Linked DNA regions of Lonchura striata. The protein of the gene in region 1 interacts with the protein of each later gene in a biochemical or structural test. Links are inferred from orthologs where the notes say so. Each region holds a gene or a part of one and is shown on either strand. Other genes may lie near its edges.

Region 1 (7,689 bases):
AGTGCAGGTAAGCAAACAGCTGCCTCAGGGTAGCAGTGTGGGTAAGCTAAATTTCCACATGATCAACTTAGAACTGCACAGGTCCCTGTACGTTACTTCTGGAACCCAGCAAGAAATGTTGGGGTCACGTGCCCTGAGAAGAAGATAGAATTTGCTTGGAGATATCTAAAAATACACTGTAAATCCACACTGGTGCAAATGAGAATAGAACCTGGTTGATCGCTGAGCCAAACACAAAAACCAGAGCAGAGTGAATTAACTGCCTGTTGCTGGAAAGTATCAGGTCCTATTGCAGTCTTCCTCACTTCTTCCTCACCCAGCCACCACGGAAGAGCTGAACATTTCCCAGAGTCTCAGGGTGAAATCCTGGCCCCAGTGAAATCAATAGGACTTTTTCTGTTGACCTCAATGGGGCCAGGATTTCACCCATAGTTATTCAAGATGGGGAAATTATTTGGAACAATTTGTTATTCAGAAAGACCTTGGGAAATTTATGTAATTCTCTTCAGAAAGCCCCTGCTCATGAGTCACATTTAAAGTACTGATACAGTTTAATCCTATAATCTCAGAAAGCTAGCAGTTACTCTTTCCCAGCAAGTCAGAAATGGCCCTATTAATTTCCAGCTGAAGCCCTCCCAGTATTATTTGCCATTTGCCAACATTCAACCATTCAATTAATTTTTAAACAGGCTAATTCCAGATGACACTGAACCCCTCACTGCCAGCAGAAATTTCAGTTATTTTCACTGACTCAGTGTACTTGAATGCTGGTGATGGCTTCATTCAACAAAGTTAATTCTGTACAATTCAATCCATCCAGGAGTCTTAAAGTAACAGTAAAACTGTTTTTCCAACCTCCCAAATAATTAGTTGGGCTAATAATTTTCAAGCTCTGCTGCTTTATTCAATTATTTTTCATTTTAGGTGAACTTTTAATTAAGGTCAGCAGCAGCACCAGAGGAAACCAAGAATGTGCCTGAGAAATTGTGTTAATTGTGGATTTCTAGTAGTTAGTGTAAGTGTACCCCAAACACCACCAAAACCCTACTATAATGGCTTCAGGTTCTCTCACCCACCTGTCATTAGTGTGCAAAAAAGGAGTGGTCAGGTGTCCAGAGCAGGAGAAAGTGTCCTTGACCCTAGGAATTTGCTGCTCTCCTGCCCGGACAGCTCACTGCCTTCCCAATCATCCTGAAATGCACCTCTAATTGCTCCAGGAAGGTAGATGCTTTACAGTTTCTGGGGAACAAATCTGTTTTCAGAAATGTTTTACAAATAGGAAAATTCAATTTTACTATTAAAAAAAAAAAAATGCAACAAGTTGCCCTTCCTTGTCCCAGCTTTTGTACAAATTGTCCCTCTGTCCAAAGGCCATGCAGAGCACTATCTCATTTCCTCTGGCTTTGCGAAGGCTGGGGAAACAGTAGGAATAAGAATATCAAGCCTTAGAGTGTGATTCCGTCGTGGCCTTTCTGATACAATCTCTGTTTACTGTGTTAGACCACGCACATGTTCTGCAGTTACTGCCACTGGAGGTGCTGAACACTTCTCAGCCCTGCACTGCTGCCGGCTCAGCTTGTTCCCGGGCTGAGTTAATGCTTCAGTGCTTTAGCCTTACTTTTGAAATTCTCAACAGTTTTACTATTCGTGGCAATATGAATAGTAAACCTCCCAATTCAGGTAGGTTCAAACAACTCTATTCATTCGTTCTCCCCCTGCTTTTTGTTTGTTGTTTTAAAGATGATTCTTTTAATCTGCAATGACTTTTTACATCTCATCTGCCAAGATTTTAAAATCCAAACAGGCTTCCTAGCCGTGCACTTCCATTAATTAAGTATATGCTTGCTTAATTTTAATATTGAAAGTGACTACTTTCAGTTTTTTCTTGCTTAACAGCAGATGGCTGACTATGTTTCTTGGTTTTATTTCTTCATACAAATTCCTTTTCCTCTGGTGCTGATGCAATAAACCTTGATAACCACTGAGGTTAATCTTAAACAGCCTTAAGAGCAATTACAGTTCACAACCTCTGTGCACGCTAGTTGACCTTAAGCTTTCTGACATCGCACATCGCTCCCAAACCATTTTCTGCTGCCTTCCAGCTTCTCAAATGTTGTTACCAGGAGGAAAATCGATTTCCACCAGGAAACTCATTCTCTGAAAGAAGCCGTCCGTTGTGTCACGCCTGATTTGCTTAGGCAACAGTTCAGCAACTGATCTACTTCACGTCAAGACACCGGGACAGCAAGGAGAGTTGGTATCCCCCGGCTGTCACCAGAAGTTCCCGGTCGGTTTACGGGAACATCAGCGACGACTCTACGCGCGGCAGCGCCGGTTTGTCGCCGCCTGGGCTGTCCCGCCGCATCTCCCCGTCCCGGTGCCCGCGGTGCCGCCGCCGGCCGCCCGCAGCGCCGGGCGCGGCCGCTCCGCTCGGGCATCCCGCGGCTCCCGGGAGCCGGGACCGTGCCCGCCGCGGCCGCCACCGCGCGGTGCCGAGCGGCGCTGCCGGCCCGGGGACACCGGGGCTGGCCGGGCACCCCCGGCGCTCACATCTGGCGGCAGCCCGGGCAGGGGTTCCCCCAGATGTGAGCGCCGGCACGGCACCGAGGGGCTCCGGCGGAGCTCGGCGGGGCCGGGGGCTCTCCCGGAGCTCACGGCCGGCGGCGGAACCACCGCGCCCGACTTCGCCCGGGGCGGCGAAACTTTTTTCCGGCGAAGCAGCGCGGGTCCCCCGGCGGGCATCCATCCCTCCGCGGCGGGACAGCCCTCCCGGAGCTCAGCCCCTCGTCCCGCCGGCACGGGCAGTCCCGGCCGCTCCTCTCCTGCTCCCACCTACCTTCCTGCCGCCGCCGCCGCCGTCCGGGCAGGAGGGAAGGGGCTCCGCAGCCCCGCCGCGCCCGCGCTGCTCCGCCGCCTCCCGCGGGAGCGGCTCCCTCGGCTCCCCGCGCCTCTGCCGCTCGCCCGGGTTGCATCACCCCCCTTTTATAGCCGAGCGGGCAGCGCTGGTATTTACTCTGGCGGCGAGTCCCTGGCTGATGTCATGCTATTAATAGCCTCTCCGAAAGAGAGGGAGGAGGGAAGCGGGCCGTGGCGGTGATGCAAGGCTTCCCCGCCGGCACGGCACGGCACGGCACGGCACGGCACGGAACGACACCACCACCGCGCCGAGCCGAGCCGGGCCGAGCAGCATCCCTCGGCACCCCGACAGACCCCTTCTCCTTCCGTCTCCACCGTTCTCCCCGTCATTTATTTATTTATTTCTATTAAGACTCCGAGAGTTTCTTTCTCCGGGCTATTTTACTTCTGACAATAAATCAAAGTCCCTCTAGCGACAAAAAAAAAAAAAAAAAAAAAAAAAAAAAAAAAAAAAAACAAACAAAAAAAACTGGTAATTGTGTATTTTTCGAAGGGACTGACCTTTCTCTAGAGGAAAAAAAACTGTTCATGACCCCCCCCCACTCCCCGGTTTCTCTCATTCTCCCTCCTCCTCCCCTCGCTACTTTAGATGACAGCTAAAAGTTCCGTTCACATAAAGGAGAAAGCTTCGTTTTTACTCTGAGAAGAGTAAATTAATAAAATTATAGACAGCTAAAAATAACACTGTTTGGGGGTTTTGTTTGTTTTGTTAGGGTATTTTTTAAAACTTTTCTTAAAACACAGCAGCATGCGATTTCCTTATAATCTCATGAAAAACCAGGGAATTCCTACAGCAGAGAGGGAAATACAGTTGTGGCTGTGGTAAAGGGGTTTTTGTTTAGTTCTTTTTTTTCCCCCTCTGGTTTGTTAACAGACAGAAATTACCTTCTAACAGCCTTCAAAGTGCTAGAAAATATGATGTTTAAAAAACAAACAAAAAAAATCCAAAACAAAAACCAAAACATCAAAGAAAACATTTAGCTGGGGGAGACACAGAAAGCTTACAAAGACAAATGCATGCAATCATCCAGTACTATAATAATTAATATATAATATATGCAAACTTGTTATTAAGCCAGTCTTCAAGCCTCTGCACTTGACTTGAAAAGACCAGGACATTTCATGCTTGAGTACATTGTATTGTAAGTAAACCAACATGAAATGGATACCTTAATATATAAGATGCATATCCCAATCAAGTGCTCCAAATTGTTGATTAATTTTATAATGTTCAATATATCAGTTTTGATAATAGGTAATAAGTCTTGAGTGGTATATTCTGGTATATTTTTATTACTTGGAGCATTTTGTGAAGAATACAAATTAGTAGTAGAATAGTAGTTTACAGAATTAGTAGAATAGAGACTAGTAGTTTGAAAGTCCTTCTGTATCTCCCTTCTGTGTGCTTGTGATGGTCTGGATATATATATGTGTGTGTATATATATATAGAAAGATAGATGATATAGATATATATATAGATATAGATGATTGATATAGATATAGATGATATAGATATAGATATAGATATAGATGATATAGATATAGATAGATATAATATTGGCCACATAGTCTGGAGTAATAAATTTAGTTTTTTTTAATGTCCAAGTGCCAGTAACTTTGCAAAATTAACACTCCTATTCCGCATTTAGTTGCCTGCTCTTGAAAGAAAAATCCTGATCTGATGGGAAAGGAAGGAGTCTGGGGTAGTGACGTGGGCTTCCCTCCTGTGGAAGGTGCAGTCGCAGCCTGTTCTCTGCAAACAAAGAAGTGCATTTTGTCAGGGCAGCAGTGAACTCCTCTGACCTACCTGGCAGCACTCCATTTACAGCTCCTGTGAGCTGCAAGCTTTTTTTCTTTTTCACTCACCTATAGAGAAATCATTCTTAGCTCTATCAAAACATAGTTATTGCTGCATTTTTATTAATCTAGATAAATCAATGTCAAGTATAATGCCAGGCAAAAACTTTCAGAAGGGTCTAGAGAAAGCTTTTCAGTTCACCTTGTTACAGCCTAATAAGTTCTTTTTACTTCAGAGGCACAATTTTATAATTCATGCTGTGCTCAAGGACAGCTGGCACTTTTTCTCAAGCCTAGAAGAAAAAAAAATTCCTCTCAAGCAGAAGCCAAATGTGGAAAATTTCTTCCCAAAAGATAGTTGGTTGGAAAATTTTAAGCACTGTGGAAATGTGTTAACAACATTGGTTTTAGTGGCCAAGAACAGGTGTCTGCTGCAATTATGACAGAAATTTATCAACTGTCTGTCCTTATTTATTTAGGCAGCTGTATCAGAAGTGGGAATGTATTTAAAGTATTTTCAGCTAAACAGAGCAGTGTTGCAGAATAATGGAAAAAAAAAAAAAGCAGTTCTCCCCTTCCGTGTGGGTAGAAGTACCTTGGAAATCCAAGCATTGTTATCCAGTTGTGGATGGTCACTGGCATCTACTTGTTTGCTACACAATGCTGGTCCCATTACTTCCCATGAGCTGCAGCCAGCACTAAAATCTGACATCAAACCAGTTGTGTTCATTCTTGAACTTGTCCTGAAGTGAGCCAGCTCCTCCCTGCAAAGCAAACAGAGAAATGTTCCTGTGCGCATTTGAGATTAGGCCACTGAAACATGTCCTGGCTTGAGTCTTCAGTGAAAAAAGAAAATGAAACCACAGTGAAAAATAAACCCAGCTCCACTGTGTTGTATAGGTTTTATCCAGATTCCTTTTGAAACCAAAGTTAAGCTAATCTCAGTTGGATCATACCCCAGTTAAAAAAAAAAAAAAAAAAAAAAAGTAAAATTTAAGACTATCAGGAAGTTAAAGTAACACCCAGTACAGCCACCAGATACTCTGATGTTCTTGCCAGTTTAATTTTCCATCTCATAAAATATCTTTCATTTGCCTCCCCATGAACATTTACCGGTCCTTTTCCAATCCATGTCTCTCTTTCATCACAAACTGCAGGGGACATATCCCCTGAAACAGCATTTTTTTGACAGAGGTAACATCCACGATCTTAACTGCTGTTTCTCTTAAGCCAGGTACAGCAGCTCATCACTCAGACTGGTGTGTACTGGGTTCTTTTCCCTCTGCAGAGAAATCAGGCTGAATACCACCTCTGGCGTGGTCCTTGCAGCCCTCCAGCAATCTCCAGTGTGCAGAAAAGAATTCTTTCCTTTATCTCTTTCTGACCAAGTCCTGCCTCCATATCACTTGGCACTACTTCACACACTGTGGATATTGGATTAAAATTAAAATATGGCTGTCTCATTATTAAAAAGAGCTACAGACATACAGAGGAACAGACCCCCAGTCTCACAGCACAAACTTTCTCTTGTCCTAACATTTATGCTACTGCAGGACATCAGTCAGAGCAACACAAAAAAAATCTCCATGTCCCATCCAGATCATGTGCTAATTTCTGGTCACACAGTTCCATTAAACCTGTTCAGTCTGATGAAAATATAATGAGATTTAAATAAATCAAATGTGTAGTGATAACATGAGTAAAAACTGCCTCTCTGTGTGTTTTGTGGTTTGAATTGTATAAAGTTTTGAAATTACTGTAACCCTGACAAGACAAAACTTTCAATGCACAGCACATATAAGAGAAACAGATTTCCATAATTCAGAGTTATCATGTGGTAAAATCTGCACAAAATCAGGTTTTCTGACTCTGCCTGAAATATTACTCTCTACTTCTGTGATGGGAACTAACCTTCATAATCATTTTTGCTATGTGTTACATTCAGGTCTGAATCTATGTGGCAGGACTCCTCTGTTCACCAAAACATGCAGGAATTTTGAGATAATTTTCCCATCTCACTGTACAAACACCAGGGGTGAAACTCGGGACTAGTTTTTCCAGCATGTAGGTTGTTACTGCTGGAACTATGGGAGCAATCAGCAGCAGAAGCAGCATCAGCCACCTTCACCCTGCCCAGAGTTTTTCAGCAGCTGTCTGGGGACTCTTTGAGCATCTGTGGGCTACTTCCATAGGTTTCTCCAAAAAGGGAATAAAAAACATCCAAGCCTACAGGAGCAAGGGCAAAATTCACTCTGGAAGAGCTGGATCTCTATGGACTGAAAAGGTCCAAAAATGGAAGTTAAAACCACAGGGTTAGAAAACTGACTTTCACTGAGACTGTATGGCAAACGCTGCCACTCTCTTATATTTAATACCTCTCAAGCAGATGAACAGATAAATATATGTATTGTGGAGGGAAATAGGTGCTGTGTTTTAACAGCTTTTATTCTTTAACACTGAAGATAAAATTATTTTGCTCTTTGTTTTTCTCTCCACAGCTTATCTTTCTTTCCTTACTGCCTTCTCCATCAATAGCCATTTACTCTTAATTTATTCTCTCCTTTAAAAATCCTATTCCCTGCTCTCTTTTGCTTTGTTTCTTAAGTTACATTTCCCATTTCTTTAAAACAGCAGCTTCTCCTTTTATTTTGCCACTTCCCTGTTTCTACTCTTCTCACTTCTCTCTTTTCCCTCCCTGTATCCTTGGATTTCATCATTCCCCTTTTTTCTGTTCCTTTTTTCCTAGAAACTTTTCTCCCATTGATCCTTCTGGTTCTGCTTGGAAGCTTTCTAAATTTAAATAATTTTAAATTTCTCTTTTGATTTCTTTCATTTTCATTTTTGCTTCTCCTTTAATGAGATGAAGGCACTGATAACAAAATTACCGCTGGGTAAGCAACATGTATATTTCAGGACCAGATTCTGGGGCACAACATTATTATGAATTTTAGTGCAACTTTACTAAATTAAAGTTC
Region 2 (6,539 bases), on another chromosome or scaffold:
TGGGGGTGACCCTGGGGGCCAGGACAGGGGGGGTGGTGGTGACCTCCCCCCCCAAAAAAAAAACGGAGAGGGTCTGGCAGGGCAGAGCCACAGCCAGGACCAGCCCTGGGGTCCCCTCGCCCACCTCCTCACCCATGGGGACCCCCTCAGCCCCAGGGGAGCCCAAATATGCCCATATTCCCCCCCCCCCAAGAGAGCCCAAATAACCCCACAGCCCCCGCGACACCCCAACCTTTCACCGCCCCCTCCCCACAACATCCCCCTCCCCACTAACCACAACCCCGTGGACCCCCTCGCCCTCCACCCTCTCCAGGGACTCCCAGAGCCTCTTTGCCAGCCATGGAGGGTCCTCACCCCCCCTCCCCATCGCCCCCCAAAACTCCCCAAACCCCCCCGGTCGCCGTTCCCCCCCCCACCCCAAAATGGCACCCGGCCGCGCCGCTTCCTGCCCGCGCCGCCCCTTCCCTTCCCGTCCCTCCCGGGCGCAGCAAACAGCGAGAGGCCAATTCTCCGTGTCGCGGGGTTTTACTGGGACCTCACTGGAATGTGTGGGGCGCGGAGGGGCCCGGGGGGGGCGGCCCGGGCCCCTCTCAGTCCGTGCGCGGCGGGGAACCCCCCCCACCCGCCGCCGCTCCGTCCGCGGGGAGCGCTCGGTGCCCGCGGTCCGGTGCCGGTCCTCCCCTCAGACCCCTCAGTCCGTGTCCGGGGAGATGGAGGAGGGGGGCGATCATCGCTCTTCTTCCTCCCCTCGGGACCCCGCAGTCCGGGACCCTCGGTCCATGCCCGGGGCAAGGCGGGCGCTTCCCCCGCTCCGTGCCCGGGACCCTCGGTCCATGCCCGGGGCAGGGCGGGCGCTTCTCCCCCGCTCCGCTCAGTCCGTGCCCGGGACCCCTCGGTCCGTTCCCGGGGCGAGGTGAGCGCTCCCCCCCGTTCCCCTCGGTCCACGCCCGGGGCAGGGCGGGCGCTCCCCCGGCTCCTTGCCCGGGACCCCTCGGTCCGTGCCCGGGCTCGGGCCCGCCCGGGGTCAGTACGCCGGCACCTGGTGCTGGTGCTGGGGCAGGAGCTGGCAGCCGCTGTTGACGTGGCTCAGCACCTTCTGCTTGAGCTGGGCGACCTGCTCGCGGAGCAGGCTGGCGGTGGAGGCGAGCTCCGTGTTCTGGCTCTTGAGGCTCTTCACCTTCTCCTCCAGCCGGGAGATCCGCTCCAGCTTCCTCTTGCGGCACTTGGAGGCGGCGATGCGGTTCCTCAGCCGCTTCCGTTCCGCCTTGATGCGCTCCTGCGTGTCCATGTCGATGGGGGACAGCGGGGGGCTCTCCCCGAAGCTCGGCACCTCCGGCACGATCTGCGGCTCGTCCTTCAGCGGCGGCGGGGGCGGCGGCGGAGGCAGCCGCGGCGGCGGCGCGGCGAACGGGCCGGGATCGGCGGCGTAGCTGACGGCCGGGTAGGTGCTGAGGTTGGCGTACACCGGCGGCTCCGGGGCCATCCCGGCGGCGGGCAGCTCGCCCGCGCCGCCGCTTCCTCCCCCGCCGCCGCCGCCCGCGCCGCCGCCGCTCCCCGCCGCGCCGCCGCCCAGCTGGTTCTGCTTGTGCAAGTCCTCCAGCGCCTTGACGAAACCCTCGGCGAACTCCTGCTCCTCGGAGGCGGCCGCTTTCGGGTAGAGGAACTGGCCGCTGGTCGGGGTGGTGGTGACCAGCCCGTTGGACTGGATGATGAGCCGCTCCAGCTCCGGCGACGCCAGCTTCAGCAGCCCCAGCTCGGCCGAGCCCAGCAGCCCCGCCGCCTCGCCGCTGGCCGCGCCGGGGGCTTTCAGCGCCGCCGCCACCTGTTCCGGTAAGGCCATCCCGAGCGCGTCCTTCTTCATCATGCTGCCGCCGGGGAAAGGCAGGAGGAGCCCGCTGCTGCCGGAGGACGGGGCGAAGCCGCTGCCGAGGCCGCTCAACACATCATCATGGTAGAAGGGTGTTTCCATCCTCCTCCCCCGCCCGGCTGCGGGGGAAACGGCGCCGGGGCGGGGGGGGAAGGACCGGGGCGAGCGCGGGGCGGGAGGGGGGGGCGGGGGAGGCGCCCGGTGCGCACCGGCCGCGGCCCCGCTGCTGCGCGCGCGCACACGGCTCTGCCGCCGCCGCGCGCCCCGCGCCGCCTTAAATAGGCGGCCCCGCCGCGGTGACCTCACCGCGCCGAGCCCCCATTGGCTGCAGATGACGTCCTCGCCCGCCCTCGTTTGCATACGGGGCGTGGCACCGCCTCCGCGGGGCGGGGAGGCCACGCCCCGTTCCCGGCCACGCCCCCTCGGCCGTCGCCGCGGCGACCGGCGGTAAACGGGACAACAGCGCGCGGGGCCCTGGGATGACGTCAGCGCGGGGGAGGGGCGGGCACGTGGCCCCCGCGGCGCGCGCCCCGCCGGGGCTGATGGGCACAAAGGGAGGGGCGGGAACCGGGAACCGGGAACCGGGCATGGGACACCGGGCACGGGACACGGGAACAGGGGACGGGAACTGGGCACGGGACACCGGGCACGGGACACGGGAACAGGGCATGGGAACGGGGCACGGGAACGGGACACGGGACACCGGGCACGGGGACGGGAACTGGGCACGGGACACCGGGAACCGGGCATGGGAACGGGGCACGGGAACGGGACACGGGAACCGGGCATGGGAACCGGGCACGGGACACCGGGAACCGGACATGGGAACTGGGCATGGGACACCGGGAACCGGGCACGGGAACCGGGCACGGGACACCGGGTATGGGACACGGGAACCGGGTATGGGACACCGGGAACCGGGCTCGGGACACGGGAACCGGGCACGGGACACAGGGCACCAGGAACTGGGCATGGGACACCGGGGACCGGGAACCGGGCACGGGGACCAGGCACAGGGCACGGGACACCGGGAACCGGGCACGGGGACTGGGCACAGGGCACGGGACACCGGGCATGGGACACCGGGAGCCGGGCGCGGGAACAGCACAGGGCACCTGGGAACTGGGCACCGGGAACCAGGCACCGGGAATGGGAATGGGAACCGGGCATGGAAATTGGCTACTGAGAATCGGGACTGGGAGCGGGCACGGGAACCGGCCACCGGGCACTGGCACCGAGCTGGGCCCCGGCTGTACAAAGGGCACGACACAGAAATAAATAAATAAATAAATAAATAAATAAACGCACGGGGCCAGGCACCGGCACGGGGCCGCACGGGAACCCCTGGGGACAGCCGGGCCACCACCGGTGAGGGTCACACCGGGACAGGGCAGTGGACACAGCCGCCGGTCCCGCGTGTCCCCCGTGCCACCGCGTGTCCCCCGTGCCACCGCGTGTCCTCCGTGCCGTGCCACCGCCGCGCCGTTTGTCACGGTGGCACCGGGGTTTCCCCGGGGAACAGCCGCTCCTACGGCCAGCCGCGGCTCACCGGGGCGGGGGTTACACCGTCCCGGCACGGTCACACCGGGCGGCACCGGGGAAGGAGTTAACGGCGGTGGCGGCGGCAGACGTCACGGCCGGCCAAGCCCGCGGGCGGCTGAGGGGGCGGATCGGCGTCAGCGCTTGGCGTCATCACCGGCGCGGGGGGAGGCAGCGCCGGTGGCCGCCGATAACCCCCCACACCGGGCAGGATGCGGCCCCCGCGCCGCCCGGGACACCGGGACACCGGGGCGGCTGACGTTGAGCCGGCGCTGATTGCGGCCAGATGCTCGCCCGCCTAACGAGAGCGATAAATCCGCGGTGTCAGTCCCGTCCCCCACCCCCGGTTCTCCCGGTGCCACGAGCTCCCGCCCCGGTGTGTCCGTCCCGTGGGCACGGCACGGCACGGCACGGTACAGGGACACGGGTGACAGCCAGGACGGGGCTGCGGCAGCGCTCCACACAGCGCTGGCACCGGGGAAACTGAGGCACGACTGCCATCACTGTTAATTAAAGCCCGAATCAACGCGGTTTATTAATCCTCAGCTGGAGCAGCGCGGACACAGCTCCGCGTCCCCCCCTGTCCCGACGCAGGTGCCAGGCCCGGTGTCCCGGGGGCTCCCCGGTGAAGCCGCCGCCGTCCGCGTTTCCGTTCCAAACCCCTCATTAGGGGCGCGGCCGCGGCCGGACCGGCAGGTTCAGACTTTCCATCCCGACCAAACCCGGCGGGCGAGGGACAGGGAGGTAAAAAACCTCCCCTTCCCCCCGGTCCCAGCCCGGCTCGGGGGCACCCCATGGGCACCGGGGTACCCACATGGGCACGGGGGTACCCACATGGGCACGGGGGTACCCACATGGGCGAGCAGAATCCTTGGCTGGCGGTGCTTTTGGTCGTCCCAAGGAGCAGCCAGCCGGTCTTCCCGGGCATCCCGGGAAGAACGGCTGGCCAGCGGGCAGGGATGTGACCCACGAGCCACCGGCACGGCGTGGCAGCACCCCGGGGCTCGTCCCGCTGCGTCCCCCCACCCGCTCTGCCAGCCTGCCACCACTGCTGCTCATCCTGCGCGTCCCTTGGTCCCCAAAGCAAGAACCCCACGCCTGCGGCGAGCCAGCGGCTTCGTCTCCTTAATGAGCTTTTAATGAGGGGCGTGAATCAGTGACCCCTTCCGCCGTGGGGAGGTCACGGGTGGCAGTGCCACCGTCCCCACGGCGGGGTGGCCAAAGCCGCCGTTCCCGGCTCAGCCCCACTGAGTCACGGTGTCCTGCCACCGGGCTGGATTTATCCCGGAGCGGGCGGCGAGGATTTGGGATGAGCCCGTGCCACGGGCGAGGCGCCACGACGAGCCTCGAGCGAGGCCATGGCCACCAGAGCATCCTCAGGGCTCCTGATGTCCCCAGCGGTGCCACCAGGGCTGTCCCCTGAGTGCCACCAGCTCCGCGACACCAGTGGCTGATCCTCCGGACACCGAGAACGTGGGCTGGACACAAGGTGCCCGTGGGGTGCATCCACGTGCCAAGCTCCTCGTGGAAAAGGGAAGCAGCAGGGTTTGCACCCCGAGATTCGCCGGGCACGCAGGGGAAGCTGCCTCTTAGTCACTGCCACAGGCAGGGAGAGAGGAACCGAGCTGGGAAAACAAGAAGTCACAGCTGCCAGTGCCTGTCCCCAAACCTGCCCCTGTCCCCGAGGAACTCCCAGGGGCCCCCGACAGGCAAAAACAAGAATTAAAAAAAAAAAAAAAAAAAAAAAAAGAAATAAAGAGAGAAAGAAAACAGATTTAAAAAGGAAAAAGGAGGAGGAGGAGGAGGGTTTGACGTGTATTTTTAGTTGCTTAGCACAGCCCTGAAGTATTTCGGCAGCCACTCCCTCCGCGTCGCTGGTGTGTAACTATTCCTGTGCTGCCTCCTCGGCGAGGCTCAGAAGTTCTGAGTCACCGTGGGGCGGTCAGAGACACAAACCCGGGGCTGCCACCAGCTCCACTGCCACCAAAATATCCTGGGAAGGGTTTCCAGGGCGGCCTTTGCTGGGTCTTTCCATGCCCAGGCTCTGCGCCCACCCACGCCGGCAGCCAGGCTCAGACTTTTCTTCCTCCTCTCTGCTTGTTGCTTTTATCTCGCTCCTCCCTGTTCTAATATTTTTTTTTTTTCGTTGTTGTTTTTAGCCTGCCTGCGCTGCCACAGGGCAGTGACAGCCCCAGATGTTCATTTTTGGGGCAGAAAAGCCCGAAGTGACAGCTGAGCGTCACATCAGCGCCCTTCCACGGAGCCACCTGCCACCCAGCTGCCCTTTGCGGGGGGACAAAAATATCCCTGCAGAGGTGGAAAAAGGAAAAGGGGGAAGCAGGCAGGGAATGCTGCTAAAGCCCGTGGTGTAATTAAACAAATGCAGAACTTAACGAGCTCCATCACCTGACCCCAGGAGATAAGGAGCACTTGGAGGACTCTACCCCGAGCTGGAGCCAAAGGTCCCATTGTTGCAGTCGGGATTTCTCCTGCCAGAAAAGACCTTAAATCCCAGCAGGGCTGGAGCTGTTTCCCTTTCCAGCAGGGAAGCCACAGCACACGGAGCCTCTGTGGCTGGAGGGATCCCAAGGGAGGGAGCAGGTCGGGAAGGGAAAGTCTGACACAGCCTGGGCTTTGTTAAAATGCCACAGGAGTTTTCCAGGAGGGAGGACACATCACCCCATCCCCTGGAATTGGCTCCCTGGGATGAGCAGCCCCACGGAGAAGACGTGGCCGGTGCTGGAAATGGAATGTTCAGGGTTTTTTCCCTGATCCCAGGGCTCAGGGAAGGGCTCCGGGTCGGGCAGGGCCCGGCAGCATCACAGACACACAGAGGGAGGCGGCTGGAAGAGGCTGGAGATTTATTCTCACTCACCACTGCACCCAGTTCTAGAAACATTAAAAAAATAAGTCTATAAAAGCATGTTCTTCACTCCATTTCAGTACAGTGGCGATGGCAGAGGCTCCACCATGAGAACCAGTTGTACAAACCCCAAACCTGCTCAAAACAAGTCACAAAATCAGTTTTCCCCCCCAAAATGCAGCTGTTTCATCCATCCAGGGGGGAGAATTGAGGCACACCCAGAGCTGTTTCTTCCCCCCGTGTGCTCAGCTGGGATCAGCCAGGATATTC

The links.
Region 2: the proteins of ATF3 (region 1) and JUND form a complex in vitro, tested with the Homo sapiens proteins (2 studies listed by BioGRID and IntAct, with this or other methods). The link is inferred for Lonchura striata from reciprocal best matches to the Homo sapiens genes ATF3 and JUND.

What each region holds. Positions count from the first base shown.
Region 1 is NC_134605.1:11,855,283-11,862,971, forward strand, and holds the start of ATF3 (cyclic AMP-dependent transcription factor ATF-3), read right to left. Parts: upstream 3,011-7,689; 5' UTR 2,837-3,010; intron 1-2,836.
Region 2 is NC_134630.1:7,010,575-7,017,113, forward strand, and holds JUND (transcription factor JunD), read right to left. Parts: upstream 2,012-6,539; 5' UTR 1,970-2,011; coding exon 1,025-1,969; 3' UTR 507-1,024; downstream 1-506. Other genes in the region: uncharacterized protein LOC110478460, read right to left, coding at 1-11, 240-367. UniProt on the Homo sapiens protein: Transcription factor binding AP-1 sites.